4 linked regions of the Schizosaccharomyces pombe genome follow. Changing the gene in region 3 together with the main gene of any one other region gives a genetic interaction. Each region holds a gene or a part of one and is shown on either strand. Other genes may lie near its edges.

Region 1 (7,200 bases), 3.3 Mb from region 3:
TTCAAAAGTTATCGAATATCTAGATAGAGCGGAGAAGCTCAAGGTTTATTTACAGGAGAAAAACAATCAAATTTCTTCAAAAAGTAGAGTCTCTAATGGAAATGTAGAGGGGAGCAATTCTCCAACCGCTAATGAAGCGTTAGACTCTGATGCAAAAAAGTTAAGAAGTGCATTGACTAGTGCAATTTTAGTAGAAAAACCAAACGTTCGTTGGGATGATATAGCGGGACTAGAAAACGCAAAAGAAGCTTTGAAAGAGACAGTTTTGCTACCTATTAAGCTGCCGCAATTATTTTCACACGGTAGAAAGCCTTGGTCAGGAATATTGCTCTATGGTCCTCCTGGTACTGGTAAATCGTACCTTGCAAAAGCAGTCGCTACTGAAGCTGGTTCTACTTTCTTTTCGATTAGCTCCTCAGATTTAGTTAGTAAATGGATGGGTGAAAGCGAAAGGTTTGTTATTCTACGTTAAAACTATTTACTCTTTAATATTTACATGACTAACATTATAGGCTTGTTCGTCAACTTTTTGAAATGGCGCGTGAACAAAAACCATCTATCATTTTCATTGATGAAATCGATTCACTGTGCGGAAGCAGAAGCGAAGGTGAGAGTGAATCTTCTCGAAGGATTAAGACAGAATTTTTGGTACAAATGAATGGAGTTGGAAAGGATGAAAGTGGAGTTCTGGTTCTGGGTGCCACGAATATTCCTTGGACTCTTGATTCTGCTATTCGCCGACGTTTCGAAAAGCGTATTTACATTCCCCTGCCTAATGCTCATGCCCGCGCTCGGATGTTCGAGCTTAATGTCGGTAAAATACCTTCGGAACTGACCTCACAAGATTTCAAAGAACTTGCTAAAATGACCGATGGCTACTCGGGTTCAGATATTTCTATTGTTGTTCGTGATGCAATAATGGAGCCTGTAAGACGAATTCACACAGCTACCCATTTCAAAGAGGTATATGATAACAAGTCTAATAGGACCCTTGTAACTCCTTGTTCTCCTGGTGATCCTGATGCATTTGAATCTAGTTGGCTAGAGGTGAATCCTGAAGACATTATGGAACCAAAACTTACTGTTCGAGATTTCTACAGTGCAGTTCGTAAAGTCAAGCCTACGCTTAATGCTGGTGATATAGAAAAGCACACACAATTTACAAAGGACTTTGGAGCAGAGGGATAGTAATATGATAAAGGAGCTATTTTCGCTTAGTTTAATGATACCATTATTGTAAAGAAGTATAATATCATGACTACACTCACAAATGTTGAATCACTTTAGTAAATTATGGAACTAGTAGAATATTGAAGGGAATGTATATTGCTTCGACAATATCTATTAGGGCAATCGGAAATTAGTCTGGGTATGTTTACTCATGCCAGAGAAATATTTTCCATAATCTTAACTGATTTTGAATCAGGATTATAAAAGACAGTATTCGACAAAATTGATATAGAAATCGCATGCTATCAAAAAGTGCAAAGTAGCAACGTACCAAAAACCTTTTCATTCTCGGAGGTAATCGGTATACGTCGCAGGCACGTATTATACGAACAACAAAAGAAAAGCATGAAAAAATGTTGAAACAAAACCGCCTAGCGTGACTTTTATAATAAGTCAACAAATAATGCTAATTACGAGGAATATTCCTAAAAGCAAGTTACATTGTGTAATATGCGTGAAGTAGGGAATAATCAATCTGCTGCAGACACAGCCTCCTTATGATCATCCGCAACATCTTTGTTAGAATTTACGATATCGGTTTCACTTGAAGAATTTTCCTCCTCGGCTTTATGAGGGAAAAAGTGTTCTTTCCATCTGAACCCAGCTGCAAGGGATCCGTTGGTGGAATCATCTTCCTTAGAATTTTCATTCGCATCTTTGTCATATCCATCAGATCCATTTAACTTTACTTGATGAAAATTAGGTGGGACAATAACTTTCTTATTGTTATCGCCACTACGCCATCCTGGGCCATGATTTTCGGCATACTCAGGAGGAGCGCAGGGTCCGTCGTTAGCGGCAACTCTATCTGCAATCTTCTTATACCATGCTGATTTATCGTTTTCTTGCAATAAGGCAACTATACAAACAGTCATGTTGTCACAACCAAGGCCGGTAGTTTCGGTGTCACTGGCTATGCAGTTATCCATTAAATTTTCAGCAATCTTCTCAAGAGAGGTTCCAGCAACTATGCCACGTCTAACAAACTCGATCACTTGCTGCGAAGTCTTGCAATCCCAAATACCATCACAAGCGAGTACGACGAATTCATCATCGTCAGTAATCTCATGTACAACAACATCCGGTAAGGCAGTAACTATTTGTTTTTCTGGTTCTAAATTACTGTTTTTGAACTCAAAATCACCGATAGCTCTTGACAAAGCCAAATTTCCATTTACACGGCCAAAGTCTACAAAGCCACCAGCCGCACAAATACGGGCTTTTTCGGCTTCATTTGAAGGCTTATGGTCTGCTGATAGAGGTTTTGCAATTCCCTTACTGCCAAGGACAGTTCTTGAGTCACCGGCATTAGCCTACACAATTAGTAAGACTAAACAACTTCCAAGACTTACACAATAAAGTTTATTTCCAACACGAAGAACAACAGTGGCCGTGCAACCTGATGGATCCGTATGAAATTGATCATCTGTCAAAATAGTTAGCAAAATGCAATGTAGTGAAATGACAAATTTTTTTTCTGAAACCAAACTAAATGTAACAACTTTTCAACATCAAGAGGTAAACATTTCTATTATCTTGGTAACAATTTTTCTAAGCATTAACTAGACAAAAGAACAAAAAATCTATAAAAATTTCAAACACAAAATTCATCAATTTTTTGGCGACTTTAAAATGGTTATGATATCAATGAAAACAACTTTATCATTGTTAACAACAAACTTACCATCCAAAATAGCTTTATCAGCATTTAAAAATGAAGATTTCAAAGCATTAACAAAATCGCCTTTCTGAAAATCAGGATTCTTTTCAAGAATCTGAGGAAGATTGCTTCCACACCATTTCGCGACTTTGTCTCCACCGTGGCCGTCATAAACCGCAAAAAAGTCGACCGGGTCTTTTACTGCAGAGCACTCCATTGAAAGTATAGCAGAATGAGCATCTTCCATTGAGATACGCCATCCTTGCATGCTTGAAAGTCCATAAAGGACGAACTCATTGCTCCCGTTCACCGAGTGCTTCTCGGTGACTGGCTCTGATAATGTCTGACCCATTGACAGCTCTTGCTAATAGATGACACAAATTTTCACGTTTTCTTTTTGTGTCGCTTCAAAACGGGTTATGTAGTAGTGATAGGTAAATCGCTAGTAGGTGGTGGAGCTTGTCGGAGGGAGTGTTGTGGCACCCTCTACAACTACATCACCACCGTGGAGACGAACGATAGTTGTTAAAAGACTATGGAAGGTAACAAGATTAGCAGTAGTCAAGGCATATATGTAAACAACAGAATAAATGGTATCAAGGACTAAATACTTATAAATTTCAAATGTTCATTAAAAAACATGTGTAAACATAGCATATCCTATAAATTGATTTTTCAATGGTTTGCATTTTACTATGACTACAATAGAGACAAAAACAACGCTGAGTAGAATGCCCCAACAAATTCAGCAACTTGATTCAGAAAAAATTTCTATTAGGCAAAAATGATATTATTTTGATTCAATTAAAAATTCCATTGGATTTAATAAATGACCAAATAAATTCTACTTATTAGAAAGAAAATTGAAATAGAACTATTTGATAGGAGTAATAAATCTTAGCAATAGCAAGTAGGATAACAGTTTTATAACAACATCAACAATGAAGATATACATAACTTTGAAAAATAGCACAAGAAGCTAATCTTTACGTTGCTCACTTTTAGCAAGTCCTTCAGCTAAACCTGTATAGTAGCCCGCATAGTACCAGCTCATGATAAGCTTTTTGTAAGTCTCGTCTAAATCATTATGTTAATAATAGAGAGTCATAAATTTTCTTAGAAGACCTTTTACTTACCATATGTTAACCCTCTTATAGGGGGAGGAACTTCCATAAACTCTTGATGTGTCTCTGCTGCCCTTGTTTCAGGCTTTTCGTCGCTAAGGCCTTTATTATCTGCAAACTGTTGGATATGTGTATCTCCTTCCAATGTCGTCTCTGTTTGCTGATTTATCATCTGCTCACCTTCTTCTAGCTTACTTATTGATTCTTCTGTCCGTGCAGCTGAAATTAATTTTTCACCATCTAGCCTAGAATCCGGGTCCGATACTCCTCCCTTTGCTTCAATACTATGATACTTTTTGAATTCATGTAAAGCGGTTTCAAAGGCATTTCTGAGCTCTGAATCATCCCACACTTCTTTTTGGCTCTGGTCCATTTTTGGTACAAGTTGTAGATAATCTATTCCTGTATGTCTTTCTTTGTACCTTAAGAAAGCTTTATTAACAAGTAGTTTCCAACTTTGTTAACTCTTATATTAATTGAATATTATTAAAGTGAAAATATTGTTTATAAAGCACAACGCGTATAACGATAAACAGTTTGAGCTCGGCGATTCCGCTTACTACAACAATTATAATCTGCTGTGGTAACTTAGCTCCTTGCCTTAACTATCAGCCGCCTTAGTGGACAGGACTACAAGAATTCGAGGTCAAAGATATAACGAGGTTCGCACATGGCGATGTGAACTCGTGGAAGTATTGTGAAAGAATGTTTATTCCAATTCATCTTTGTTTACGATTTTGGCTTTATTATACCAAAAAGAAAAAGGAATTGTATAAGCTACAAAAATCAACCTAAATCAGTTATCTAATATCCACACGAATAATTCATTAAATGCTACATGCGCTAATATGGTTTAGCGAGGACTTCTCAGTAAGTTAGCTTTCTGGGATAGATTTTAAACTACCTAATTGAATTTAAGGTAGCTCCACGTAATTACGTTACATATTTTTATGCATCGTCATCTTAATTTACGTTAAGTACATATCGCATTCTGAAAGACCATGCGAATGGGTATTGGATGAGTATCGTTCTACTATCCCTCCTCTACATACATTCATATTTTAAAGATTTTCGTTCATGAAAAACTATCATAACATATTTCAATAGTGTATCTTTTGATAATTTCCTTTTTCCGTTACTTTTTACATGCATATAATACTTGGATAGATCAGATTTTTCTTGTTCTCGATTTTCTGAAACGATCGTTCATTCATTCCTCGATAATTTGACGAAAGGACCCTTAAGTTTGCTACTTTGCAATAATGGCTTTCAATGGATATGGTATTTTCGACAGTGATCCTAGAAAAAGTAAGTATACCTATCCTTCCCTCATTTGTAACAAAATTGCTAACGTTGTTTGAATCTTCGATCTGCGGGTGTTAATTCCTACAGATTCGAGATTCATCGCTGAAAACAGATCCATCGAGCGATTTAAGAACTCAATTTTGGCTCGCCTTTTTACTTGGAGCCTCTGCATGCGTATTCTTTTGCTTCTTTCGTAAAAGATGGAAAGTACTATATGCCCCTAGAACTACCATTGAAGGTCTCAATTTACCTACACTTTCTTCATCGTACTACAAATGGTTAATGGATTTAGTAAACATCCCTGATGATGTAGTGCAAAATTGTGCTGGTTTGGACGGCTACGTTTTTTTATTGTTTTTTAAAATGGGTATAAAATTCCTTTCTTTTGCTTCCCTGCTTGGCGTTTTGATTATTATGCCCGTCAATAAGCATTTTCGTGGAGATGCATTCGGGAATATTACTTTGTCGATGCCTGCCAAATCTGAATATTTCTTCTCAAGTCCACTTGTCAAGAAGTCAATTGTACAATCTCCTATTATTGCTAATGGTAGTGAGTTAAATGTTGGTGTGTTAGGACCTTCTTTATTTAATCCAATTGGTAATTTATCTGATATACCAGGTCTTCCACAGCCTGGTGATGGATTTCTCTATCTTTACGTTCTTTTTACTTACTTTATTTCCATTTTTCTTCTTTATGTTCTTTTTTCCTCAACAAAATCGATTGCTGACATTCGTCAATCATATCTGGCTCGTCAAAATAGATTGACGGACAGAACCGTTTTTATATCTGGTTTACCTAATGAACTTTGTTCAACGGAAAATTTAAAAGCATATTTTGATAAATTAGATGTGGGTTCTATAGACAGTTTAAGTATATGCCGAAATTACTCATACATGGATATATTACTGTCTAAAAAAAGTAAATACGTCAAGAAATTAGAAAAATATTGGTCTATCTATTTAAGTAACTGCAAAAAGCTTGGAATTTCCACTTTACCTCCTTCGAATTATCTTAGTCCAAACAGAGCAGAACTTGAATCAACACCAGAACAACTTTTGGAGGTTCCTTGGCAACATCATCAATGCCATCCGTTAATAAAAACTCATTTTTTTGGTATTTTTGGTCAAAAGATTGACGCAATCGATTTTTATTCGGCTAAGCTTTATAAAATAAGCCAACAGATTGAAAATGCTCGTTCTTTTGATTATCCTACCACAGGTCAGGCGTTTATAACGTTTGAATCTATGGCGACTGCGCAAATTGTAGCCCAAACTCATATTGACAGCAAATCATTGATGGGTTTGCATATTGAACTGGCACCTGCAGCAAATGATATTCAGTGGCATAATACCTATATCGGTAGATGGCATAAGTTTTTTCAAGGTTGGTTCATAACTCTCGTTACATTTATGATAATCTTGCTATGGACTGTTCCTGTGGGAGCCATTGCCGTATTTATTAACTTAGATACAATTCGAAGACTCTGGCCGGAACTTGGTCGTATGATTGAAGATCTCCCTTTTTTAAATTCTTTGTTGCGCACTTTCCTTCCAACGTTGGTTTATTCACTATTCATCAGCATTTCACCATTTCTTTTTCGATGGTTATCGTCTATGCAAGGCCTGAGCTCTCGCGCTGAAGAGGAAATTTACGCTGTTGGTAAGAATTATGCTTATCTCTTTGTAAACTTTTTTCTAGTCTATGTTATTGCTGGTTCAACTTCAATTTGGGAGTTAGCAAAAGATACCACCAGTTTTGCGCATTTCCTTGCCAACAGGTTACCACATCAAGCTCAATTTTTTATCGATTTAATAGTTTTGCAAGGTATTGGAATGTTCCCTTTGAAATTGATACAGCTTGGAAAACTGTCATCATATTTT
Region 2 (7,327 bases), 3.5 Mb from region 3:
ACTGCGGGGCTTATGTTGCGATCGAACGATGGCACGTCCATTGGACCGAGATAATACACATGTTTACCGTAGCTCGTAACGCACATTTAACAAACTACTTGCTTCTACCCTACTTTATCACCTAAAAATAAAAATGTGTCAACATGTGCACGTCTACTATACCTTCTACTATTTGTTCGGTAAACCACCAACCGTGCCTCCTTATACGTCTTCTCCAAACATGTAATTGGATTCGAACAACTTTAGCTCGACAAGTCGTTTAGCTTACGAACATCCAAAAGCTTATCTAATGACCTAACTAACTCGCTCTTTTTGGTCGCATGACTTTGCATACGATTGTTTAGTAATAAAAACAATAATCCTTTTCACACCTGTTTTTACCCATGGGAAAGCGGTTCCCAAAGTTTGTCACTTACTCCCATATTCTAATCTAGATTAAAACACATTTAGCTGCGAACATGGCACACCGGTTAATACCCAGCCATAGTTGAAATTAGTAGACAAATTGACTGAGTATCTCTTATCAAAAGTCAATACACATTTTGTTTGCGCTGACATTAAACATCGTTGCTCTTATGAATGCTATGTGTGTGTGTGTGTGTATGTGGAAATGTGTTAGTCAGTCAGTGTTTGCTTGAAATTCGCTGTGTGAAAATAATAAAGTGAAAAATAAATAAAAGGTTGTAAAACCGAATTCGTACAGTAAGGTGAGCGCCGACAAAAGCTCTTGAGAAAAAAAAAATCATGCTGCTATCAGTATTCGAGTCTTTTCGATTTCGTGGCAAAAGGAAGTTTTCCTCACATGTTTTTGTGCGACAATAGCCAACCCCATTCACTTAATTCCTTAATTTCCTCAAGGGTCAAAAAGATTAGGATAGCTGAATAACGTTTTGCATTGCATTATGTTGCAATACGATAGTAAGACATTATAGGGTATATATCATAGTTGGAAAGTGCGGATGTGCATTTTAGCAGACTACGTTATCATTCAGTAAATGTTTGGGATCTAAACTCTCATTTCTCCAAAAGATTAGAAAGCATCTACTTCTTGCATCACAACAAACTTTTAAACTCCATATTTGTTCAAACTAATTAATAAATTTTTAAACAATGCCTCCCAAGGGACTATCGCTTGCAGAGAAAAGAAGAAGATTAGAGGCCATTTTCCATGACTCTGTAAGTTCGTGATATGATTGTTCAAGTGCCAAAACATGATTTTTGCCCATTCGTGTCTCACTTTCCACATTGCTAATCTATGTTTTTTTTATAGAAAGATTTTTTTCAACTAAAGGAGGTGGAAAAGCTGGGCTCTAAAAAGCAAATCGTTTTGCAAACTGTAAAGGACGTTTTACAGTCTCTCGTTGACGACAATATCGTCAAAACGGAAAAGATTGGCACTAGCAATTACTACTGGTCTTTTCCCTCCGATGCTAAACGTTCAAGAGAGTCAGTTCTCGGATCTCTTCAAGCTCAACTTGATGATTTGAAACAAAAATCTAAAACTTTAGATGAAAACATTAGTTTCGAGAAATCCAAAAGGGATAACGAAGGAACCGAAAATGATGCCAATCAATACACTTTGGAACTGCTACATGCAAAAGAATCAGAACTAAAACTTCTTAAAACACAACTTTCAAATTTAAATCACTGTAATCCTGAAACCTTTGAATTAAAAAATGAGAATACTAAAAAGTACATGGAAGCTGCCAATTTGTGGACCGATCAAATCCATACTTTGATAGCTTTTTGTCGAGACATGGGTGCCGATACCAATCAAATTCGTGAGTATTGCAGCATTCCAGAGGATTTGGACGATCTGCAACTACCGATTTTGTGAACTTGACATGCTTCCTTAATTCAAAGAGTTGTTTTCCTTATTAATATTTTAAAATTTTATACATTTTAACAGTTACATATAAAATAGCTTACTCGACGACAAGACTTAGCTTTTAAAAGATAAAATTATAATTAGTTGGAATAATATTAAACGAAACAAAACAAAAGTCCAAATTCCTCAAACTTATAGTATTTGTTAACTTTGAAAGAAAAAAAGCATGTTTCTTTTTTTATAGTTTTAACTTTTTTTATAAATTTACGTAAGGTCATTAATTAAAATGCGACTGTTGTAACGGTTCCAAATCCAATGCCATTTCTGGCCTCAACAATATGAAATCTAAAAGCTTCTTCATGAGTTAGATTATCGAAGTGATGATGTTTCATAACCACATAAATAAGGAACCTTTGAGTCAATTACTTTACATGGTTCATAATGATTGTTCATGAACGGATATCTGATCGCATAATCTAACTCAATTTTCCGTTTTAACAGTCATTTCATCACTGTATAGGATTTGACGCTCATGGTAAAATAATAGGTAACTATAATCTGGTTAGTATGTAAAAAAATAACAGCAAAGAGCCTACGCTTGAGAATTTAAGACCTCCGATTCCTTTACTTCCACAATTGTGGTGTCATCCAGCAAAAACCACTACAAAAATTAGTAAAAATTTCCATAAAAAATTCAAAAAAAATTTAATATACTTGATTTTGGTAGTATGTATAGGCAATATAGTGCCCTGTGTCGAGAGTTCCTTTATGACACACAACTGAGTATAATTGATAATCCACATCATCTTGATTAAAGTTGTAGCGCATTCTTAAAAATGCTGGATAAGATACTTGCTTATCTATTTTAGTTGACATGGCAAAGTTATTTTGTTCAAATCGTTTCAATTGCATGCAAATAGTTGGAGGTAGTTTGTCAAAGACCAATTGTTTAATAGCATTTTTTGACCCGCAACTATGACAGCTATATTGAACTTTCTCTTTGGAAACAAACCTAAAATAATATTTGTTAAAAAATCTAAAAACGAGCAAATTTTACCTTTCCAAACATCCTTGAAGTGTTGGCTCATTGATGTCTAAACTAATGTCCATCAAAGGATCCACAGCCACCCGCTCCTTCTTGCAATCTAGGCATGTAACAACGTTTTTCAGAGATCCACTAAAAATACGATGAATAGGACAAGTGCACGGCATTGATGTTCCTCCTCCGCTTTCCGTATGCATTTGGTCCAGCAAGTATACAAAAAATTCGTGGCCATCTTGCTGGGAGTAACCACATAAAGATTTGCTGAGTTTCCACATAAGATTTAAGACAGCAGTGGGACCGTAAAAAGTAGATTTGTTTTTAGAATTATAAATAGATGAAAACATATCGTCAATGGCACAAGTCATGCAAGTAGGTCGCTTACAATCAGTAGAAGTATGAAACCCACTGAAAAACAAGTTTCGAACCAATGGATTATGCAAAATACTTTGTAAAATGACGCTCATGAAACAAGTAGCACCCAAGTTCTGGATCCCCCTCAAGCCTGCTGTTGCGCAAACTGGAGGGTATTTTCGATAGGCTTCTAAGCAAACCATTTGATTGTACTTCTCGGGAAGTCTCTTGTGATCACTTTGCCATGCCTTGATATTCTTGATCTTAAAACGAAGGGTTTCCAACTCGGTCTGATAAACGTAGTCTTGACAGCCAAAGCAGTAGGTATGGCCATTTTTTACATCCACGCCTAAGAATTAGTAATTGGTATTCGGGAATTGCATCCTAACTCGATATTCGCAAAAAGGTTTCGTTGCTAAATCAATAGCTATGTTTTCAACTAAACGTACCGATCATATGAGTGTGCTCCATTGCGTGTTCTTCACCATGATGTCCCCAAAGACATCCCACAGAATGACAACTCAAGCATCGAATACTCCGCTTGTTGATGCGTTTGCAAGTACTGCAGCGACGTGGGACAAACTAAATGAAAGAAATGTTAAAAGGAATCGAATGGAAAAAGAAAATTGAACTGTATGAAGTGTTGTTCACAAGCCTTACATGACAACTGAATATCTGGGTACAGATCTTTTGATAGTTTTCAACATCCGCCGGTTTAAGTTTAAGATGCTGGCAACCTTCTACATCCCCAGGCATCCTTGATACGTACAAAATTGGCCTTTCAGACTAAAAAGCATCTGCTTCGATGCAGGGTGAAACGACAACAATAGACGAACTCGCTATTCTGGCAAAAGAACATTATTTCTCTTTGCTTAAATTTGGGCAATTAAGGATGCGGTGTACAGCGTTAAGAGCCATAAAGTACTCATAGTGTCTGCACTACTAGATACCGATTTCGTATAAAGAGCTATCATAGCTACGCTAAGTCAATTGATAAAACACCAAAATAGATGTTCTTCGTAGTTCTTGAGTGTCCTTGGTTTTCCTCTTTAAAACATAAACTTGGTAAATTCCCATAGATTTGGCTGTTGAGTCACTGCAAAATAAAAAAAATTACTGCTAGTCCTTTAATCACGGTTGAATAGATGAAATTGTTAATTTTTTAAAAGCTTGGTCAAATTAGACTAATGCCTCTATTAACGTCGAACGTGTTTAAGTGTACGCTTATGTTTGTTGCCATGAAACGTTTGCAGGGCTAAATATAAAACCATATATGACTATTTACCGTGAGCATCTTTGTAATACAACCGAGTCACTGCAAGCAGGTACATGTACGAAAATTTTTGTCTATTACATTTGTATAGAATTTATTACTTAACAATTGACTAGGGGCAGATTTTTGTGCCGAAACAGTTTGTGTTACCCTAAATAGAGATTGTAGGGCAACAATACGTCTGCAGAAGTTCAAATATATATGTAGCAAATGAGTGTGACTTACTTAAAAATTGGTTTTTGATCAAGAAATAAAATCCTTTGGTGCTTTTTCTTTTTTATGTCTAGCCTTGTTGAATGTATTTTTCCATCACAATGTTGATCTTGTCTACTCAATAACACACTAGACTATGTTAAGTACACTTGCCCTTGCCCAATCTGCAATCGGACATCGTATTTTATTTTTGCATACTGAATTTACGTGTATTCGTAGTTTCACGAGTTAACGATTTTCGAATATCCAACTCTCATTGAACTTATAATAATCCGTAATCCTTTACCTTTTTTTTGATTACAAGTGTCTAATTAAGTTTTCTAAATCAAGAGAAATCAAAGATACAAGCAAAGCTTTTTTTCTTACGTACAATGAAGGGTTTAGGTCTAAGTACGAGAACCTTTAATTGGAGCTCACTTTCTTCCATTCTTTTACCAAGAATTCCTTTAGCTACTACAAAAGCCGATTCCTTGATTTTGGCTGTTCGTCACGATAAACAAGTTTTTTCTGAAGATTATCGACAAGTTGTTGACCAGTATTTTGAAACATCTCCCAAAAAAAATGACATTCGTCTCTTTTGGAACACTCAGGGTTTTGTTCGTCTTGCCATAGTCCAGCTTGAAGAAAACGTTTCTGAAAAGTCCGTTCGTTCAGCTGCTGCAGAGGCAGCTAAGATTTTAAAGTCGAATGGTGCAAAGTCGATAGCTGTCGATGGTATGGGTTTTCCCAAGGATGCTGCCTTGGGTGCTGCCTTGGCCACGTACGATTTTTCTCTTCGTAGAGACCATTTGAGCGTCTATCAAGATGAAAAGGTGGTTGAAAAGGAAAATTTATTTACCTCTCCTGCTCCTGAAAGGTTAACTTTCCAATTGCTTAGCAACACATCTGAGAAGAAAACTGCAACCGCAGAGGAGAATGCTTTTAAGGTAGGTTTGATTGAAGCAGCTGCTCAAAACTTGGCTCGTTCTCTTATGGAATGTCCTGCTAATTACATGACTTCTCTTCAATTTTGTCATTTTGCTCAAGAGTTATTCCAAAATTCCTCAAAGGTTAAAGTATTCGTTCACGATGAGAAGTGGATTGATGAGCAAAAGATGAACGGTTTACTTACCGTGAATGCTGGTTCCGATATTCCACCTCGTTTCTTAGAAGTACAATACATTGGTAAAGAAAAATCAAAAGATGATGGATGGCTTGGTTTAGTTGGAAAAGGTGTAACGTTTGACAGCGGTGGTATCAGTATCAAGCCTTCTCAAAACATGAAGGAGATGCGTGCTGATATGGGTGGTGCTGCTGTTATGCTTTCCTCTATTTATGCCTTGGAACAACTTTCCATCCCCGTGAATGCCGTGTTTGTTACCCCTTTAACTGAGAATCTTCCTTCTGGCTCTGCTGCTAAGCCAGGAGATGTTATTTTTATGCGCAACGGTCTTAGTGTAGAAATTGATAACACTGACGCTGAGGGTCGTCTTATTCTTGCCGATGCAGTTCACTATGTCTCTTCTCAGTATAAGACCAAGGCTGTGATTGAAGCCAGCACATTAACTGGTGCTATGCTAGTAGCCCTCGGTAATGTATTTACTGGTGCATTTGTTCAAGGAGAAGAGTTGTGGAAGAATCTTGAAACTGCTTCCCATGATGCTGGAGACCTTTTCTGGCGTATGCCATTTCACGAGGCTTACCTCAAGCAACTTACAAGTTCTTCAAATGCTGATTTGTGCAATGTTAGTCGTGCCGGTGGTGGTTGTTGTACAGCGGCTGCCTTTATTAAATGCTTCTTAGCCCAGAAAGATTTGTCTTTTGCTCATTTAGACATTGCCGGAGTTATGGATAAGCAGCTTAATTCTTGGGATTGTGACGGCATGAGCGGACGCCCAGTTCGCACTATTATTGAAGTCGCTCGCAAGTATTAGCTTATTTATTTTCTTGGCTATATGTGCAAACTTTATGTTTTTACTTATTTACTGTTGATTACACCAATCTCATTTTTCAATGTCCTTGTTAAGTGTATGTCAATGATATGTAGCTATCATGATTTTATTCTTTTTAATACTGTTTTCCACAACCGTTCATAACGGTTGTAAGGACCGAGTCTTTCTGATGGCTCTGGTTCTGTTTCCTTTAAAAATAAAATCAATTCGGTTGAAGTCTCATGTTGTTAAATTTCACTTTCGAAGTAGCGAATTTTTTTTTTCTATTTTGAATATAGATTTGTTTATTAAATGTAGTAATCAATTTACTCATGACTATTACTTTTGTCAAACAAAATCATAATACAAAACTAAATCTTTAAAGGTAGAATATTCTCCTGTGCGAGTTTACAATACTTTGGGATATGATCAAATCAATTTTTTTTAGATATCTGTTGAAATTTTTATAACAGTAATTTTGTATTATTTATCATACTATTTATTAGCGTTACCTGCCCTCTTAAATGTACACATCATGTGGGGGTGGGGGAACCAGTGCTGGAGATCACTTCTTGCTATACCGTTTGGCTCATGGCAACTATTGAGGATAGCAAGGAGCGTTACAATTTGCAAATCAATATGATAAACAGAAAAACAACAAGTTGAAGCTTAACACTGTAGCAATATAACAATGAAAAAAATAATCA
Region 3 (8,619 bases):
ATATGTGATGCTGAATGCGTTCTTCCAAGTTCCCCCAAATCAGAAATAATCTTTCTTTAAGCTGAAGAGTCATCTGCGGGTGATCAGCTAAATTGCAAGGTTGGATTTTTGAGCTGTTAATAAGTTCCGCAGCGTCAGAATCAAAAAATATGACCGGTAAAGTCACATTCGATACATCCCTTACGAGCAAGGCAAACATCCAAACATACGAAGATGGTGGTTGAGATAGCACAGCAAACTGCGTCAAACTCTTTGGCCAAAAATCTACCACCTGAACGCGTAGCCTATGTTTCCTCGGTTTGAGAAGATTCTGCAAAGGTGCATGAAGTATGGTAGAAATAGTAGTCAATTTTAAACTAGCAGGTTCATTTATGACATGGGCCGTAATTTCATTAACAGAAGTTTGCTTTAATTCATGGGCGATAAAAGGATTTTCCGATTGTTGGCTTTGACTGAGTTTCTCGATTACTGCTTCTATACCATTTTGGCAATTCTGAACATAAAGCCTTTTACGTGACTTAATTTCGTTTAGTTCGGGTTCTTCCGAATCGACTTTTTCTATACTCATATTATAACGTTTTGCTGAATCCCCATGAAGTATACATTCCAGATAACCAAGGTGATCAATTTTGGTTCGCACATTTTTCATAACCACATAGTCACCTTCTTTAATGTAGTTGCGGCAGTAAAAGTCGTGCTCATCCCATAAAATGCACCTTATAGAAAACCGACCAAAAGGGCCCCTCCATCTCGAGGAGCTAGTATACGGAGACATTGGAAAAAAAAGCTCATTTTCCGTATAATCAGTGACATAAAGAGTAAAGTTTTTATCACTGTACCAAGTTTTAATTACCTGAGCGTAAAAGCTACAACGTTGATGTGGAGTTATTTGTGATAGCAGAGAAAAAGAGACAGAAGGGTAACTCAATCCAGTTTGATTTTGACGAGCAGAAGAGGTACTCAATAATTCGCCATTTTTATGTTTATTAGTTTGCTCATCCCAAATTTTATTTAACAACAAGGCGAATTGCTCTTCCTTGTCTCCCGTTTTCATTAAACGAGGCATTGGTTGAGGACAGAGAGTATCTTTGGAATTAGAAGAAAAGTCTGGCCAAAGTGCATATCGAAATTGATCCTTAGACAAACCTTGAGTCCTGTCTCTATAACTTCTTAATGTGATTTGATGAAGCAAAAGCGGTTGCCCCACCTGCTTGATTACAGGCAAATCATTTCCCTGTTTGCTGAACAAGTGTATCTGTAGTCCGATGCTTGATGTATCACATGTTGGATCCCACAAATATACGGTGGTTACCCAATCTAAAAACATGATTATTAGCTCTTGACTGGAAAAATAAAAAGTATAGTTTCCACCATGATAAGCAAGCATACCCTTAGTTCCATGTAGACTTTGGCGACTAGGGGTAAAATCTTTTACTATTCCAAACAAATTGACAATAGTATTCTTCTTTTGTAATTCTTGAGAGCTTCTAATGGACTGAAATGTAAGTTCCTTTTTCATTGTTAGCAAAACAAATATAAATCCATTGATATCTCACTCCAATCTTATATTCTCCAGCATTTAATAACTCATTCAACTGAAGACTGTCAATAACGTCCTCTCCCATGCTTGATCAACGAATGATCCAAATATCCTTTAAGAACAACAAATGAGTTTTAGCCTTTCTCAGAAACCTAAATGGAATTGGTAAAAGCTTTTTAAACCAAGACAACCCCTTGAAAGTGATGAACCTTCAGATTATTCAATAGACTGCGTGAGAGTTACTTGTTCAAGCTTGATCATTCCCCTTCTTCAAATTCCTAGGATGAACTAAGGGTTATTCAGTTTTATTTTACCAATAATGAATTTGTTTCTTTATCAAGCAAAAGAATGACCCACTCCTCAATCTTGAGGTTATGAGTGTTCATGGCTAGCTATTAAATGGATCGCCGTAAAGTCCTTAAGCTGAGCGCAGTTGTAAAACTTTAGACATATCCCAGTTTCTGCTAGGCTATTATTGAAAGAGTTTGCCGAGTATCAAGATTTACTAGTATTATAATAAGCAGATCGCATACCGGTTCATGCCAATTGGTACTTAAAAATTTTAATGTATGCGGTTCATCTCGAAAACTCAAGACGCTTACTTTAGCTAATCTAACGTTCAGTTTAGAAAAAGAATGCAATGCAAAAAGCGATAGCTTATTAAAAGACTTTCCTAAGGTATTGCATTCACGATCCAGAACAGCAAACCTGCAACGATCTATTTTGGTTTTAAAAGCGCCAACCTGCTCTATGCGTTTAAACCCATGTAAGTTTAACTTACAAAATAAGCAATTACTTTCAATATAATAAAAAATTGATCCAATCGAATATAATATATACGATTTCATTGTCATAATACCTAAGTTTTGACAGTAGTTTGCTCATAATCTACAAAAAAGAATAAAACTAAAAGAAAGAAAAAAACATGCATGGTTGTTCGTCAAACCTAAATGCCAATTATGCAGCGATATAAATATCCCCCGATCATTTGAGCATAGCTTCGAAGACCAAAGATACTCAGCAAAAGTAGGGCAGGTAACCAGAAAGAGAATAGCATAAAGTCCATTCCTGCCTTTTTCAGTGTCTTTGCCTGCTCCTGTATTGCTCTGGTTTCTTCAGGAGTAAGAGCAGTAGATTTTCCACGACCAACAAGCCGAGATTGCCATCTCAAAGACCACCAAACACTTTTGTGATGATCGGGATCTTCAGATATAGCGCTATCTCTTTTACTAGAACCAGCTTGCGCTGTCGTATCATCAGCAAACTCAGAATAAGGAGGGGGTACATCATCGGGAATGGCCGATATACTTTTTAAGGTTGACAGCATGGCTTTTTGCATCATGGATGGAACTTCACTCATATAATTCTGAGGTAGTTCTTGAAGCGATGGAAACATTGTAACAGTTTTATTCCACATACTTTCACTATATGACTTGGTCTGAACAGCAGATTCCTCAATTTCGTTAACAATACTGGTTGATTCTAAGGTTTCATTTGTATTAATGGAGCCTTCAGAATCCTTAATAAGAGAGCGAGAAATACTTTGGGCTTGTTCATTATTTGCTTCCTTAAAGACCAGTTTTATAGGCTCAGAAGAGGAGAGGTCTATCGGTTTTTTACCGCTAGCTCCTATAACATCAGGCTTGGCACCGTTGGAAAGTAAATTAACACATATGTCTTTATGATCATACAATGAAGCATAATGCAGTGGTGTATAGCCAAGTGCGTCCCTTTTGTTAACATCGCATCCTGCGTTGCATAAGAACGTCGAAGCATTAGACAATCCACAGGCAGCAGTAAGGTGGAGAAGTGACCTACCAGATTCGTTAACAAGACTAAAATCAGAAAGGTATGGTGTCGTTGTATCTGTAACAAGAGCAAATGCTGCGAGGATAGTACTTTCAACACTGTCATCAGACTGATTACTGTCTTTTTTCACAATCCGCGAAATAACCGATTTAAGCGATTCCATATTGCTATCATGCAATAAGGTTTTTTTAGACTGACCTTTAGATTCACTGTTAGGAGGCTGCTTAATAGAATTTGTTATATATTGAGCAAAATCGTCGCGCCATGAACTCAACAATTTTTTGGATAACGTTAATGGGTTTTGAATAGATCCAGTAAGTTTTAAGCCTAAAACTTGAACAGTTAATTTGTAAAGTTCATTATCTAAATTATCTTCATAAGTAAACATTACTGGCGCTTCAGAAGATGAATTATAGTTCTGAAAGGTTACAGGAACGGTTCCAGCATTAGTTGCAGGAGGACAAGTCGCTATAATCGTTGACTCACTCCACGAAAAAGTTACAGCAGCTGGGTTGTCACCAAATAAACAGACTAATCCATTAAAAAAGTTCGCGCCAAGAATTGTAACTTCATAACCTCCCATGATTGAACCCTTATTAGGAATAATCCGAGATATTAAGGGAGCATGTGAAACATCAGGTGGAGTCATGTTTATAAAAGAAGAATCAACATTTTCTTTTATCGGCGTACTTACAAAATCAGGTTTAGCAACCTCATCAAATTGTGTAAGCAAGTTGTTGACACTACTTTTTTCTTCAACGGAAAACGAGAAATCATCTGTACAGTAAGGGAATGGGGCTATTGGGGCACTTTCATTTGTATGGGCTTCAAGCACTCCTTCCTCTTGCTGTTGTCTTTGTTGGAAACCAGCGGCATCGCTGGGAACTCGAACAACATGGAAACCATTCTTTGAAATGGAAGGACTTACGCCGCTTGGGGTAGTCATACTCAGCACAGAAGGGGATTTGCTCATACTAAAGGCTGAGCCCTCAACACTTTTCAAAGTGCTTTTCGAATTAGGTGAATGCGAGTCACTAGCAGATAGTTGTATGTCGAGTGCTCTAGAATTTTCACTCGAGGATGTTCGACGACGCTTTTCATTTGGTGGATTATCTGAACGGGTAGGGAAACCAGTGACAAGATTGGGGACAGTATTGCTTTTAGAAAGAACATGGTTTGAAGGAGCTTGTTGAGAATTGCTCTTACCAGTCTTTTCTGATTTCGTAAGATTTCTACTTTTATGATCATCAAGAACGGTAACAGGCTCTGGAAAAACAAGACGATCCACCAAACGTGACATGGAGTATAAGTCCCATATGATGTGAAAGTAAGGGCATGATTGATGAGACGAGTAACATGTAATCCGTGCATTGATGTGAGCAACTCTTTCATTTCCATCCAATTGCAAACGAACGTACTCAGGTCCAGTAAAAACCATTATCATTCTATCTTCATCTATGTCTTCAAGTTTGGGAAATTGATTTAAGAGCTTGATCCTGAACTGCTGCTTTTCTTCGGGAGAGGCATCAGTCATGTTACGCTCATAAGCCTTCAGTTTAGTATAGTTAGGCATACAAGCATCCTTTGTTGCTTGAGATCGAGCATTGCGCTTCCTTTCTCGAAGTAAACAGCGAGTACAGCAAGTCTTAACAACTGAGCTTTTGTCACCTGCAAGAACGGTAGGTACAAGATGAATGACGGTCTCCGGATCGGGTTGCAAAGGCTGAGGTTTCGAAGAACGCTTTTTGTCTTCACGGTGAGCCCAACTTGGCAAGCGAAGATATTCAAACGGAACACTTTGATTATCGTTGCTCTTGATCCGCAACTCAAAAAGCATGTTAGTTTCCACCCGAGATTTCCATTTGTGCTCATTGATAGCTGGTAAATGATTAACTGAGAACGCGTACTCCTTATTAGAAAGAGGCGGTGCAGACGTATTTAAAGAGGAAAATGCATAATCTTCGGCATATGGCGTAAGAGTATTAATAGATTCGTTGAAGGGAGTTTCCAACATGGTAATCGGCTGTCTAAACTGTAATGGATCTTCGATGGCGCCCGATGACTTTACAGAATTAAATCCAGCTTCATAAGGTGCTTGTTTCATAGGATCCATTTTTAAAAGATAAACATCCGACTCTCCAAACATGGGATTATCTCCCAAAGGTTGATCAACGGTATTAGCTAGAAAATTAGCATCAGAAATAGAATGTTGCGGAGTAGGAAACACCGTTCTGTTCAAATGCAAACTAGGATTGATGTAGTCTTGCTGACGATCAGACGGTAAACATTCCGCTTCATCTTGTGAATTCGATAAGTTAGGTGAACTGGCATGGGATAAAGACGGAGGAGCTATACTAGGCAAATTTAGACCTTGATCCGGCAATCCATCGAAGTTAAAAAATTCACGCATTTCTGCATCGCCGTTTCCGGCTTTTTCAAAATCGGGAGAGGAAAACATATAATCATCAGAGGAAGACCTCCCCTCCTCTGAACTAAATTTCATGAGCTTGTTTACTTCCCAAGTTCCTTCTTCCTTAGTCGAATTCTCGGTATTTTTGGCGATCAAATTTCCAAAAGAAAATTCTAAATTCATCTTGAGAGTACTTTGAAATGCAATAGACTACCTTTATAAAGGCAATTCTTTCAAAGAATTTAAAGGTCTTTAATGTACTACTTCTTTTCAATTCTCACTTTTGCTTTCCTCCTCGATTAGTTGGTTGTTGGAAGCTGTCGCTGCGCTACTACACTAATCTCTTCCATCACGTTGTGCAAGTATTACATGCTTTCCACTTGAGCACACATTCTCTAGTATTACTCTTATTTTAACAAGTTATTATGTTATATTTATTTAAATAATTAGTTTGTGGGTTTTGTTTTTTAGTTCCGCCACTTTCTTCATATTCGATTAATTTCCTTTCGGCATTATATACCAACAAAAAAATTCCCAACATTCTGATAAATTTAGTAGAATACATGTAAATGAAATTGTTCTTGTCAAAGTACAACTTTCCTTAAAAAATTTTTACAATGTTAAATAGGTTTTTACACTATCCCGCATACATATAAGTTGAATGTTCATAATACTTATTTTATTCGTTTTGATAAATCATTAAATCTTTTTATATACGATCATTCTCAAAGTACTTCAATCCAACAACCTGTTAACTTCAGCTGCAAGAGTTGTGCACACATTTATACATACAGAAATACTAAATGCGAAAATGGCTCCGATTTGTTAGACTGTTCCAATCAAGTCGGCAAAGACAACGGAAAAGCGTAATAGAAATTAATCGGTTACATTGATGTACATCAAGGCATCTTTGACACGTTCCCTTACATCAGGAGATGAGTGATTTTGTAGCATCTGCAAACATTCTCCAAATCCGAGATTTTGTAAGATACTTGCTCTTTCCTTATCTTCCTGGCTTGGAGATGTACATTGTTTGGGCCATAGAATGTTAATACAGAGCCAAATTCCGGCCAACAGAATTTCGGAGTTTGGTTCATAAGTGTCCTCTTCATAAATATCGAAAGGAGGACGCATTTCCCTATCAAAATCATCTTCTTGCAAATCCATTTCACTGTCACTTTCCGGAGATGACACATTTGTGGACATTTGCTCGGGCTTGAGACGTTGTGCTTCTTGTAGCATAATTTCCTTCACCAATAGTAGTAGTTTGGTTTGCCTTAGGATAGAATCCCTAAGCTCACCATCGCTGGCAGCGATGTGCACCAAAATGTAAATACTGGGTTCAATTAGGATAGGATTTTTACTTTCTAATTTTTCAAGCAAAATTTTTGCTAACAACTCCATAGGAACCATTTTCAAAAGAAAATCCACGCTTTCTTCTTTCTGACATGTAAAATTTCGCAGCACTTGCAACATTTGCTCTTGGACCCCCAGATCTTCGTCATTGCAAAGTTCCACAAGCTTTGAAGCACCGATCTTTTTTAAAGGTTCAAGCTGGATCGTCTCATCATCACCAAATACAACATGCCGCAGAACCCACACGGTCTTCTTTCTTAGACTGCTATCTTTCGTACTAATATTTGATATCAAAGTATCAATGAAATTTGTAGTAAGGAATTTCTCTCTCAAAGGAGAAAACTTAAGTACCAAGTTACAAATGGCAGACGTAGCAGTCGATTTGACTCTAGTATCCGGGTCAGAAAGCAACTTTATTAATGGTTCGCTCACGTCTGCATCGGCAAGGCCCGTACGTAAAATGTAAACGCTTCTCGAGAGACTTAATAAGCATTCACAAGCAGCCTTTTTCACGCTGTTAGAATTGATTTTCAAAGCATTAATGATAACAGGCAAATATTTAGCATCAACTATTAGTTTTCTGTATTCATCTTTAGAAGTTGTTAATGCAGCAACGGCTAGCAAAACTGATTCTAAGATTAGGTTTTTTTGCTCCTTTTTGGTAGCAGGAAGATTAAAACAAACGCTGGATTGCAATTCATCGGATAAAAAATTAATTTCATTCTCTTCTTCTTTAGTTGCGTATTCTAGAAGATATTTGGCAGCATCAATAAAACCTGCATTTACAGCCGTCTTTTGCATAATTTCGTTTTCATTGATTATGATGGCGAGAATACGAGGAGCGATTTGTTTTGCTTCTCGAGATTCAAAAAATAAACGGATGAGAATGGGAGTTACTATCATTTGAATCTCCTTAGTTTGATTTTTAGAAAGGATGCCTGCCTTGTATAGGGTCACTAAACAAGAAATTGAGAGCAAGCGAATACAAGGATCAAACTGTCTAACGAGACAGAATAACTGAGTAATATATTCATCACCATTAGGCCCAAATATCTCTGATTTAAATAAGGCGACCTTATCCTTGTTTCCCTCAAAAACATTTTCAATTTCATCTAAATCCATATCGCGAGGCGAAACGTGACCATTTGATTCTAGCCGGGTTTTCTCTCTTTGTTTATAAGACTTCACATGCTGTTTTAAATAAGCATTCAAAGTACCCAGGGAGTTAGTAATTAAGATAGAGCAATCATTCCAAAATCTTCTTCTGGAATACAAGCGCAATTGGGTAGCTCTGTTAGTGATTTGAAATAAAGCAGAACAGAATCGTGGAGAGTCTCCAACTTTAGAGTTATAAAGGATAAGACGATGCAAAATCTTAGAAGATAAATTTGAGATACGCAACACATCAAGAGAAGGTTGTTCTTTCAAGGGTAAAGTATACAAGTCAAACATTTGATTAATTATAGAGTCCGAATGTAACTGAGTGACATATTCTGCTGCTTTG
Region 4 (8,471 bases), on a different chromosome or scaffold from region 3:
ACGCTGCCAACACGTTCTGCAATAGTGTTGTATAATGGCTTATATTTACTCTTCAATGCGAGTTTAAAAAACCGGAAAGATAACTCTGCATTTTTCGATTCGGCAAACGAGTAAACATCACCCATTCTTTTAATATAATTGTGAGGAAAAGAGACAGCTTCATAAACAACATCCAAAAACAAAGATTTCTGGCCCGCTGACCAATTTTCAATATCTTTGCTGCTAAACTTGGAGGGATCATCAGAATTTTTAGCAGAATTAGTCCAGCTTTCTGCAAGCTTGTAGCAAGGATCTGCAAGCGTTGTATCAAAATGTGGTTTAACCGGAGGCATACCAGGAGCATGGTACCAAGTATCCCAATCAATCGAGTCCAACTTAGATGCAAGCCCAAGAGGTGAGAAGTATTCATACAGTGCATGCTTGAATTTGACTTCGTTTACGGTAGACTTTGCAAATTTCCTAAAGTAAAAGGGAAGGAATGGTTCAAAAACAGAAGGACCACCAATAACCCTCTCTATTTCATAGAGGAAATTGGAGCCCTTTTCGTAAGGAACAGTGGAAAAGGCATCATCGGGATCCCTTCCTTCGAGGTTTTGAATCAACTTCGTATACTCACTATCTTCACCCAACAATTTAACCGATTCTTCTAATTCACCCCAGCCAATAATGGCTTCAAATTGGCGAGTCGGCTCACCATAAAGACGGCCTAAAATTTTGCGTTCCAAGAAAACAGTCATACCTTCATTCAACCAAAAGCATTGCCATGACTCATTAGTAACTAAATTACCGCTCCAAGAATGGGCTAATTCATGAGCAATAACGTTAACATTGGAGCGATCTCCGGCAATAAGTGTCGGCGTAGCAAACGTAGCATTAGGGTTCTCCATACCTCCGTATGGGAAGGAAGGCGGAAGGATGACAAAATCATACCGTGTCCAGCAATAAGGAAGTGTTAGTTGCTCGGCGGCTTCCATAAAGTTTTCCATGTCATGTTCAAATTCGTATTTGCAAGCTAACAAGTTGCCAGGCTCTGTGTATACAGAAGAACGTGGACCTATATTTGTGGAGGCCAAATCACCACTGAGAATGCAAAATAAATAACTAGGGATTGGATTTTTTTGCTCAAACAGGTATTCCAAAGAGCCATTGCAGAAATTAGCTGTTCCACATGGGATACCCGATGCGATTACGGGAAGTTTGGACCGGATCTTAAAAGTACACGGAACTTTAACAGAAGGAGTATCTTGACAGGGAATGAATGAACGTGCATGAATGGCTTGACATTCCGAAAAAACATAAGGAAATTTACCACCTATCGTTTGTTCAGGCTTCAAAAACTGAAGTGCTGTACAATCCTTAGTAGTGGAATATAAGATTGTAAGTATACAGGATTTTGAGGAAGGGATTTCATCAGCGGGAACGATATGCAAAGCTGAACCCAAAAATCCGCGCCGCTTATCAACACGGAAAGGAGTAGGGATGTCATTAATCGTTACATTCTTGATTTCGAGGTAAGAAGTGTCAAGGATAATATGGGACAGGGCTTGGGACACCCTAGCAGATTGAATCACAAAGGATACTTTACCATGGAGCAGCTCTTGGTCAAAGTCAATTCGAGCGTGCCAATCGAGCTTACTGATTGAGACATCATGATAATTAGATTGAGTGGAAGGGTCCAAACGAAGTTTCATATTTAAAATTAATTGAAGGAATTTAGGACAATGTACAAACGAATTCTTTAAACGAAAACAACGCTCAATATATTAGAAGCCTAGATAAAACCAACGAGTACAACGATCTCAGCTTTAGCAATATGAGTTATGCTACTGAGTAAATAAAAATATTAAGTATAAAATAGTTAAAACAGATTAATCACAGTTTTATAAAGGAAGGAATAGGAAAAGCGATCATACAGCAATACGATGAGTAGCAACATGTGTGGATATGGGTGCAGCGCGTTATGCTACTTTATCGATATCATTATGTATCACTACATTTATTTTCGTTGAGCAACGCAATTTGTAAATTCACAAAAGAAAACAGTTTATTGTTGAATAGGAGTTTTGGAGAGAGGGCTTTGAAAAGTAAATAATTATTATTTTTGTGCTCATAAAATTACCAAGAATGTTTGAAAGGATCATTGCCAATGATAAGTTATTATAAAAGAGACAGCGTCCCTTAGCTTGGGAATGTAAATAATACAATAACTGTTACGATTATTGATTTTGGTTTATTTTAAATAAAATAGTAAAAAAATGTTATTCATTTATTTGTAATTTCATAAGGTTTAGGCATAAACGAGAGAGAATTCCACAAATCTTGGTCATTCCCTCTTTAATAAGATACGTTTGTTAACAGATAACAGAAAGAAGGCAATATTACATTATCATTTATTGTAATATGAATTAGTTGTCTATAGAAAGAAAAATGAGCAATAATAGAAGTATTAGTCTTTGTGATCTTTCTATTTCTTCAATTACGAACAGAGTTAAAAGTTCGAATTTTGAATCGCAGCTCGACCTCCGAAGGGTAACCAAAAAACCCAAAATCTTCTGATACTAAAATACCAAAAAAACTGAACGCAACGTTTTTAATTTGAAAATTATTTCACCATTTCCGAAATCGAAGCGCTTTCTAAGTGTTTCCTATAATTCCTTCCTTTGGCTCACATATACTGAGTGCGACTGGTACAGCCTTGCTCAAGCAAAAACCAAGTCTCAGACTTTTTTGGAGAATGCAAGTAGATCCTGTAGTATATCAACTACAACGTGCTGTAAGTCAAGATCCCATTGCTGTTAAGGATGCTGAAGGGCATTTAAACAACTGGAAAAAGGAACCAGGTTTCTTTGGCAAGCTGTACAGTATATTTTTGGATAAACAAAATGACATGAGTTTACGATGGATTGCTATCATTCAACTACGGAACTCCATAGATATAATATGGAGGAAAAATACAAAAATGTAAGTTAGGAGTAGTCTCGAAGAATCAACCTGTACTGTTAGACTTTCGTAATTGCTAATGTATGATTGTTTGGCAGGTCTTTACTTCCAGAAGAACGTGACTTTATACGATGTAATGCTCTTTTAGGATCTATAAAATCTGAAAACCTCTTATCTATTCAAAATGCGCTGGTCGTCTCTCGAATTGCTAGATTGGATTATCCCACCGAATGGCCTTCTCTTTTTCACGATCTTTTAGGCAAGTTACAGCAGTCATTGGGTACAGGAGATTACGATGTGGCTTTAAGATTACTAATTACTCTTCATCACATTATCAAAGCAATGGCTGGGAATCGTCTTTTGAGATCGCGACAGATTTTTTACAAACTTGCTCCAGAATTGCTTACGATTCTTCAACCCATTTTACATTCTAGTTTATCAAGCTGGATGATGATACTTGAATCTTCTAAGGAAATTAAAGATTCTACTTTGTTGTCTTATATGCAAATATCTCGATACACGCTTAAGGCATGTAGACGGTTGGTTGTTTTTGGTTTCCAAAATCCTAGTGAAAGTGAATTTAGTGAGCGTATGTTAGCTTTTTGTGCTGTTCATCAGCGAAAACTTTTGAGTATGCTTGGTACAATGCTTCAATCCTCGCGGTCTCCGATAGTAGTTGGGGAGTGCTTAGAAATGGCTTTTGCACATGCTTTCTTATTCAATAAGCCATTCTTTGATTTTTCTTTCTATAGTCCATGCTTGACTAAGTTTCCAGCTACTATTGATTACATTTCATTGCACTATGATTTTTTGGGTCAAATCAGTTCTCATCTTTCTTCATACAAAGAAAAGTTTGAAGAGAGCTCAAAAAATTTTGAAAAACTTGTGATTATGAGCTTACGAGTATTTATCCTTGTCATCCAAGAATTCTGCAATACTAAATCGTCGCACCCCGAAACGGCTCAAGTTCTTTACAACTCATTTCTCGTAGATAATCGTATAAACAATCTTTTGGATTTACTCATCACCAAACTACTAATATTAAAAGAAGAAGATTTTGAAGAATGGACGGATTCCCCACAACAATGGGTCCTTGAACAATCGACCCAGGATGTTGAGTTTAACGTTAGGGTAAGTTGATTATGAATATGGGTTTTTTGATAAGCTTATCATTAACGATAATATAGCCTTGTGCCGAAAAACTTTTAAAATGCTTCTTTGATGCATATGGAGATATTATCGTTTCGCCGTTCAAGGATATGATTTACAGCGTTTTTGAGTGTCCAAAGACGTTAACACAAGCAGTTCAACAAGACACTTTGATCAGTTCTTTCGGAGTTGGATATACCCAATTGAAGAGTATTTTTCCTTTTGCAAAATGGCTACAGGAAGCCGCAGTTCCCAACATGGCTTCCATTAATGATATTGGGATATCTAGAGTGTATCGACGAAGAATTGCCATTTTTTTATCGCAATGGATTGAAGATTCTTCTTCAGAACAACTCCTTGAGGTTATTTACAAATTGTATTGCTCATTTCTCAACTTAACAGATCCTTGCAATGACGCCGTAGTCATTTTAACAACTATAGATGCTTTCAAAACCGTTTTAGATGATTGGAATTTTTCTGAGAATTCATTTCTTTCTATCAAAGAAAATTTGTTTGTCCATGTTCTTTCTTTGTTTAAAGCGTTTGAATCAGTCGATGCTAGGACTTCCATCTTGTCTTTACTTGGTACTTTATTGGCAAGGGCCGGAGAACATGTTGCTCCCATGGAAAGTACCATTGCTTCTCTCCTTTCTCAATTATGGGATGGTTGGAAAAAGGAACCGCTGCTGCGAGCACGAGTTTTGGCAGTTATGCACCAATTCGTCAATGTAAGTGTTTGGCTATATACAACAGACTGTTTTCTTATACTAATTTCTAGGCGATCAAAGCAAAATCTTTTGAATTTTCAACTTTTTTATATACGGTAATAGAATATTGTGTAAATCCGGAATCTCCAGAGCATGTTATTTTCGAAGCGGATGCAATGGAATTGTGGAGCACCTTTCTCATGTACATACAAAAATTGCCAGAAACTTTTACCCTACTTATCCCTCATTTATTGTACCATCTTTCACAGGCCACGTCTACCCTTCCATTCGTTCTAATGATAGTAAGCAGTTATCAACTTTTAGACAATACCGTTTTGATGAAGGATTACTCATTTACCATATTTGAAAAGTTGAACGACTTATTAGACGATGTAAAAAACGAAACTTTGCAAGCACTATGTAAAACTGTATGTCTACTCATTGAAACTACTCCGATGGATATGATTTACGAATCATTGCTGAACAGTTCACTTCTGTCGAGGCTCCTACTCTCCATTGCAACAAATGATAAACACCCTCAGGTGTTGATTGAATATTTATTGGTGGTGTCACGCATCTCATTGCGCGAGCCGGAATTAATATTGAAGGTTTGTCAAACGAAAAATATCAACATAGCTATGCTTATCGGCAACTGGATTTTATTAAACGACCACATAAACCACTCGAAAGATCGAAAACTGAACACACTCGCCCTCAGCTCTCTGCTGCGAACAAATCATCCCGACGTTTTGGCAGTGTTGGATTCTATCATGAATTTATGGTTCAGCGTTTTGAGTGAGGTGGAAGAGGATGCGAATGGAGATGCAACGATTTACTATAAAAATGATGACTACTCGGCTGTTGGGTTTTATCTCGATGAAACCTCAGAAGAAATGACTCGACGAAAGCAGGTAAGTGAATGAGAGGCTAGAAATATGTTTATTGTGTAAATGAAAAAGTTTTATTTGTTTGCTTTTGTTTTATTAATACTAACTTTTATTTTAGCTGCTTTTAAAGGATCCCGTTCATAGTGTTAACTCTCGCTCATTTTTTATTTCTGTATTTATGTTTTGCAGAGACGCTAATGGTGGAATGGAGAATTTTCAAAACCAATATTTATCGACGGTCAACCCAGCGTTGTTAGAACAGTTTCAATCCATGCTATAGGAAAAAAGAAGCAGTAAAAACAACATCATATTTCATGATAAAAAAGTTGGTGTTAATTTGTATATCTAAATTAAGCCAGTTGCTACGATTTTTGTTATACTGATTAAAATCCCAATTCAAGCTAACATGATGGATGGGAAATTTGGTTGAACTGCGGTTCAGAAGGAACAAAACTTACCTTTAAAAACCCTTCTAAAAAATTTCCTATGCGATTTCTTTAGCTGTCGCACGCTTTTTTCACTTATTCTAATACGACTCTGCCTTTCCTATCCGCCAATATCGTCTTAGCCAGTATATCCAAATTATAAGTATAAACATGAATACAGTAATAAGAGAACTGTTCATTCTTAGGTAGGCCTTTCTTATATAAACATATTCAGGTAAAATCAACATTAACTTTATATTCATTATGACTATTGAAGAAGCGATTCCTCAGCCTGTGCAAGCTGTCAGCTATATTTCCAAAGATTGGAATGATAACGTAATAAAACACAGTGATACGAAAAGAAACCATAGTAAAGAGGAATCATTGTAGAGAATCTCAGTAAAGTATGGAATCGCTATAAAGAGAAAATTGAACAGAGGAAAATCGCAGCAAAGAGATATGGTAGTACAAACAATCCATGCCTTATACAAAAGGTAAAGGTAATTCGACAGTACAATGATATTTTTTAAAAAAAACATGTTCTTTCTACTACAATTATTTGGCTTGTCACTTGAGGCAAAGACGGCGAAGCGTTTATCCATGATGATAAACAAGCTCGCCATCTCTATACTTAAGGGCTTGCATTGTATGGAAAGGGCGCAATTGCCGTGCCCTATAAGAAGAACTTTTGATTTTTCAAATGAATTTTAGATCTTGAAGTCAGGCGACAACAGCCAAAACATCATCTCATCTCATTCATTCAACAATGAGGAATGGGCGATTTTTCATCCAGCGTTTTTATCAGGTCAATTGCGTCGATCTCATTGTACACCAAGATGATGGATATGTAATGAAGCCAGCCAGTCGGCTTATGAAAATTTTGCTAATTATAAGAAATCAATTGCAAGTAACAGAAATGAGATGGATCGCTGCATCAACAAGGATAATGAGATAGACAGATAAAGTTTGTTGAAAATTTTCACGACAGAAGAAAATCACTCAACTAATCAACTCAAAATGGAATAACATGGAAATTTATTTCGCCAAACAGTGCAGAAGCCACTCAAAAGTGAAATGAGCAATGGAGGGGAGGAAGGAAAGATTGGTTGATTTGCTGTATCAGATGAAATTCATGGGTGAATGAAAAAGAAAAAAAGGTTTGCAAGAGGATGGATGAGTGAGATTGAAAAAATATTAGATCTCGAATAAATTCTTTCTATCCATCTTTCATAGTATACAATCGAAAACAAGATAGAACACATCCATGCCATCCATACTTCTATCTTTTTTTTTCTTTCTCTCTCTCTCTCTCCCCCCCTAGCATTCCTCCAACAACCTCTTTATAAACGATATCCTCTTCTCTTCCCTTCCTACACCAATATCCTCCTATTTTGTCTCTGATGTCATGCTGACCTCCACCCACTTTACACTTTTACCTCGCCATTGCACCGTGTCGCTTACCGCAAAACCTCATCGAGTCATGGATGCGCAACGTCACCACCATCGTAAGCGAATACAGAGTTGGAACGAGCGGCTCGCATGATGCCAATGACGTACGTTAACGAAGGACGTCAAAGTAGGCAAATCCGCCGACATAAACTTCTTGTCTTTCGCATACCACGATTGTTGGACACCAACAATATATTTCTGTGAAAATCAATTGAAAAGCTAATTTAGTAATTTTTTGGAGACTATTGGAAGGGTACCCAGTATTGGAAAGTTATATGATTCTTAAAAATGTACGTTTGTAAATGTTTGCTCACTCGTTCGTGTGGGTAATGTTTGAGTCGGATTTTTGTTTGGATTGTGGATGTAAACGCGGATATTAGAGGCTGGAGATGAGTATCGGAAAGACTTTGCGTTTGGAGAGTGTTGTTGACGTTACACTTCCTACCTTTGGACTGGGTTGGGGATAGGGATCTTAGGAGAGATAAGTGGACGAATGAATTAGGACGGTTGGACAATATCGAGTCTTGGAAGATTACTGAATTCTAATAAAAAAAAAAGAAAAGCAAGAAGCGATTTTTTTCTTTTGTGTTTTTATTTCATTTTTATTTTCTTTCCAAGTCTGTGACTAGTTTTTTGGACTTTTTTTTGGATTTTTTTTTTCTTCTACGTCAGGTGCTTTCATACGGAGATTTGCTCTTTCCTTGATGATCAGTTTTGATTTCATCTTTACCTTATTCTATATCACGTCTCCTTCCCCTTCTGCTAGGCGGTGATTGTATGCTTGACTTCATTCTCTACATCATTCAGGTGACGGGTTTCGCTTTCAAGTCGTTAAGTTAAATTTGGCGGATGCGCAAGTGTATCTTTTTTTTCATTCTTTTTGTGCGAAATTCCTTTTTTTTTTCTTTTTTTTT

The links.
Region 1: mutations in mga2 (region 3) and ptc3 together harm fitness more than expected from each alone (negative genetic interaction), as found in Schizosaccharomyces pombe (2 studies listed by BioGRID).
Region 2: mutations in mga2 (region 3) and ubp8 together harm fitness more than expected from each alone (negative genetic interaction), as found in Schizosaccharomyces pombe (2 studies listed by BioGRID).
Region 4: mutations in mga2 (region 3) and kap113 together harm fitness more than expected from each alone (negative genetic interaction), as found in Schizosaccharomyces pombe (2 studies listed by BioGRID).

What each region holds. Positions count from the first base shown.
Region 1 is NC_003424.3:818,463-825,662, forward strand, and holds ptc3 (protein phosphatase PP2C catalytic subunit Ptc3), read right to left. Parts: upstream 3,323-7,200; 5' UTR 3,243-3,322; coding exon 2,915-3,242; intron 2,667-2,914; exon of another isoform or gene 2,657-2,666; coding exon 2,583-2,656; exon of another isoform or gene 2,544-2,582; coding exon 1,701-2,543; 3' UTR 1,306-1,700; downstream 1-1,305. Other genes in the region: AAA family ATPase Vps4, read left to right, coding at 1-453, 513-1,188; smn1 (SMN complex subunit Smn1/Gem1), read right to left, coding at 3,870-3,967, 4,027-4,387; SPOM_SPAC2G11.09 (Ca(2+) transporter), read left to right, coding at 5,277-5,322, 5,432-7,200. UniProt on the Schizosaccharomyces pombe protein: Dephosphorylating regulator for many key proteins. Has an important role in osmotic stability and cell shape control. It may negatively regulate the osmosensing signal transmitted through wis1 map kinase.
Region 2 is NC_003424.3:577,411-584,737, forward strand, and holds ubp8 (SAGA complex ubiquitin Ubp8), read right to left. Parts: upstream 4,071-7,327; 5' UTR 3,981-4,070; coding exon 3,885-3,980; intron 3,807-3,884; coding exon 3,674-3,806; intron 3,574-3,673; coding exon 2,886-3,573; intron 2,841-2,885; coding exon 2,543-2,840; intron 2,539-2,542; exon of another isoform or gene 2,490-2,538; coding exon 2,425-2,489; exon of another isoform or gene 2,380-2,424; coding exon 2,310-2,379; 3' UTR 1,943-2,309; downstream 1-1,942. Other genes in the region: protein Mcp7, read left to right, coding at 1,111-1,176, 1,271-1,837; ysp2 (peptidase family M17 cytoplasmic leucyl aminopeptidase yspII (LAP yspII)), read left to right, coding at 5,082-6,623. UniProt on the Schizosaccharomyces pombe protein: Histone deubiquitinating enzyme component of the transcription coactivator SAGA complex. SAGA acts as a general cofactor required for essentially all RNA polymerase II transcription.
Region 3 is NC_003424.3:4,122,535-4,131,153, reverse strand, and holds mga2 (IPT/TIG ankyrin repeat-containing transcription regulator), read right to left. Parts: upstream 6,072-8,619; 5' UTR 5,943-6,071; coding exon 2,487-5,942; 3' UTR 2,349-2,486; downstream 1-2,348. Other genes in the region: shelterin complex subunit Pot1, read right to left, coding at 1-1,317, 1,390-1,510, 1,557-1,625; protein Gid5, read right to left, coding at 6,636-8,619.
Region 4 is NC_003421.2:1,294,224-1,302,694, forward strand, and holds kap113 (karyopherin/importin beta family nuclear import signal receptor Kap113), read left to right. Parts: upstream 1-2,701; 5' UTR 2,702-2,734; coding exon 2,735-2,961; intron 2,962-3,038; coding exon 3,039-4,071; intron 4,072-4,127; coding exon 4,128-4,817; intron 4,818-4,867; coding exon 4,868-5,707; exon of another isoform or gene 5,708-5,801; coding exon 5,802-5,963; 3' UTR 5,964-6,354; downstream 6,355-8,471. Other genes in the region: aminopeptidase Lap2, read right to left, coding at 1-1,691; protein mug150, read right to left, coding at 6,417-6,731. UniProt on the Schizosaccharomyces pombe protein: Functions as a component of the nuclear pore complex (NPC).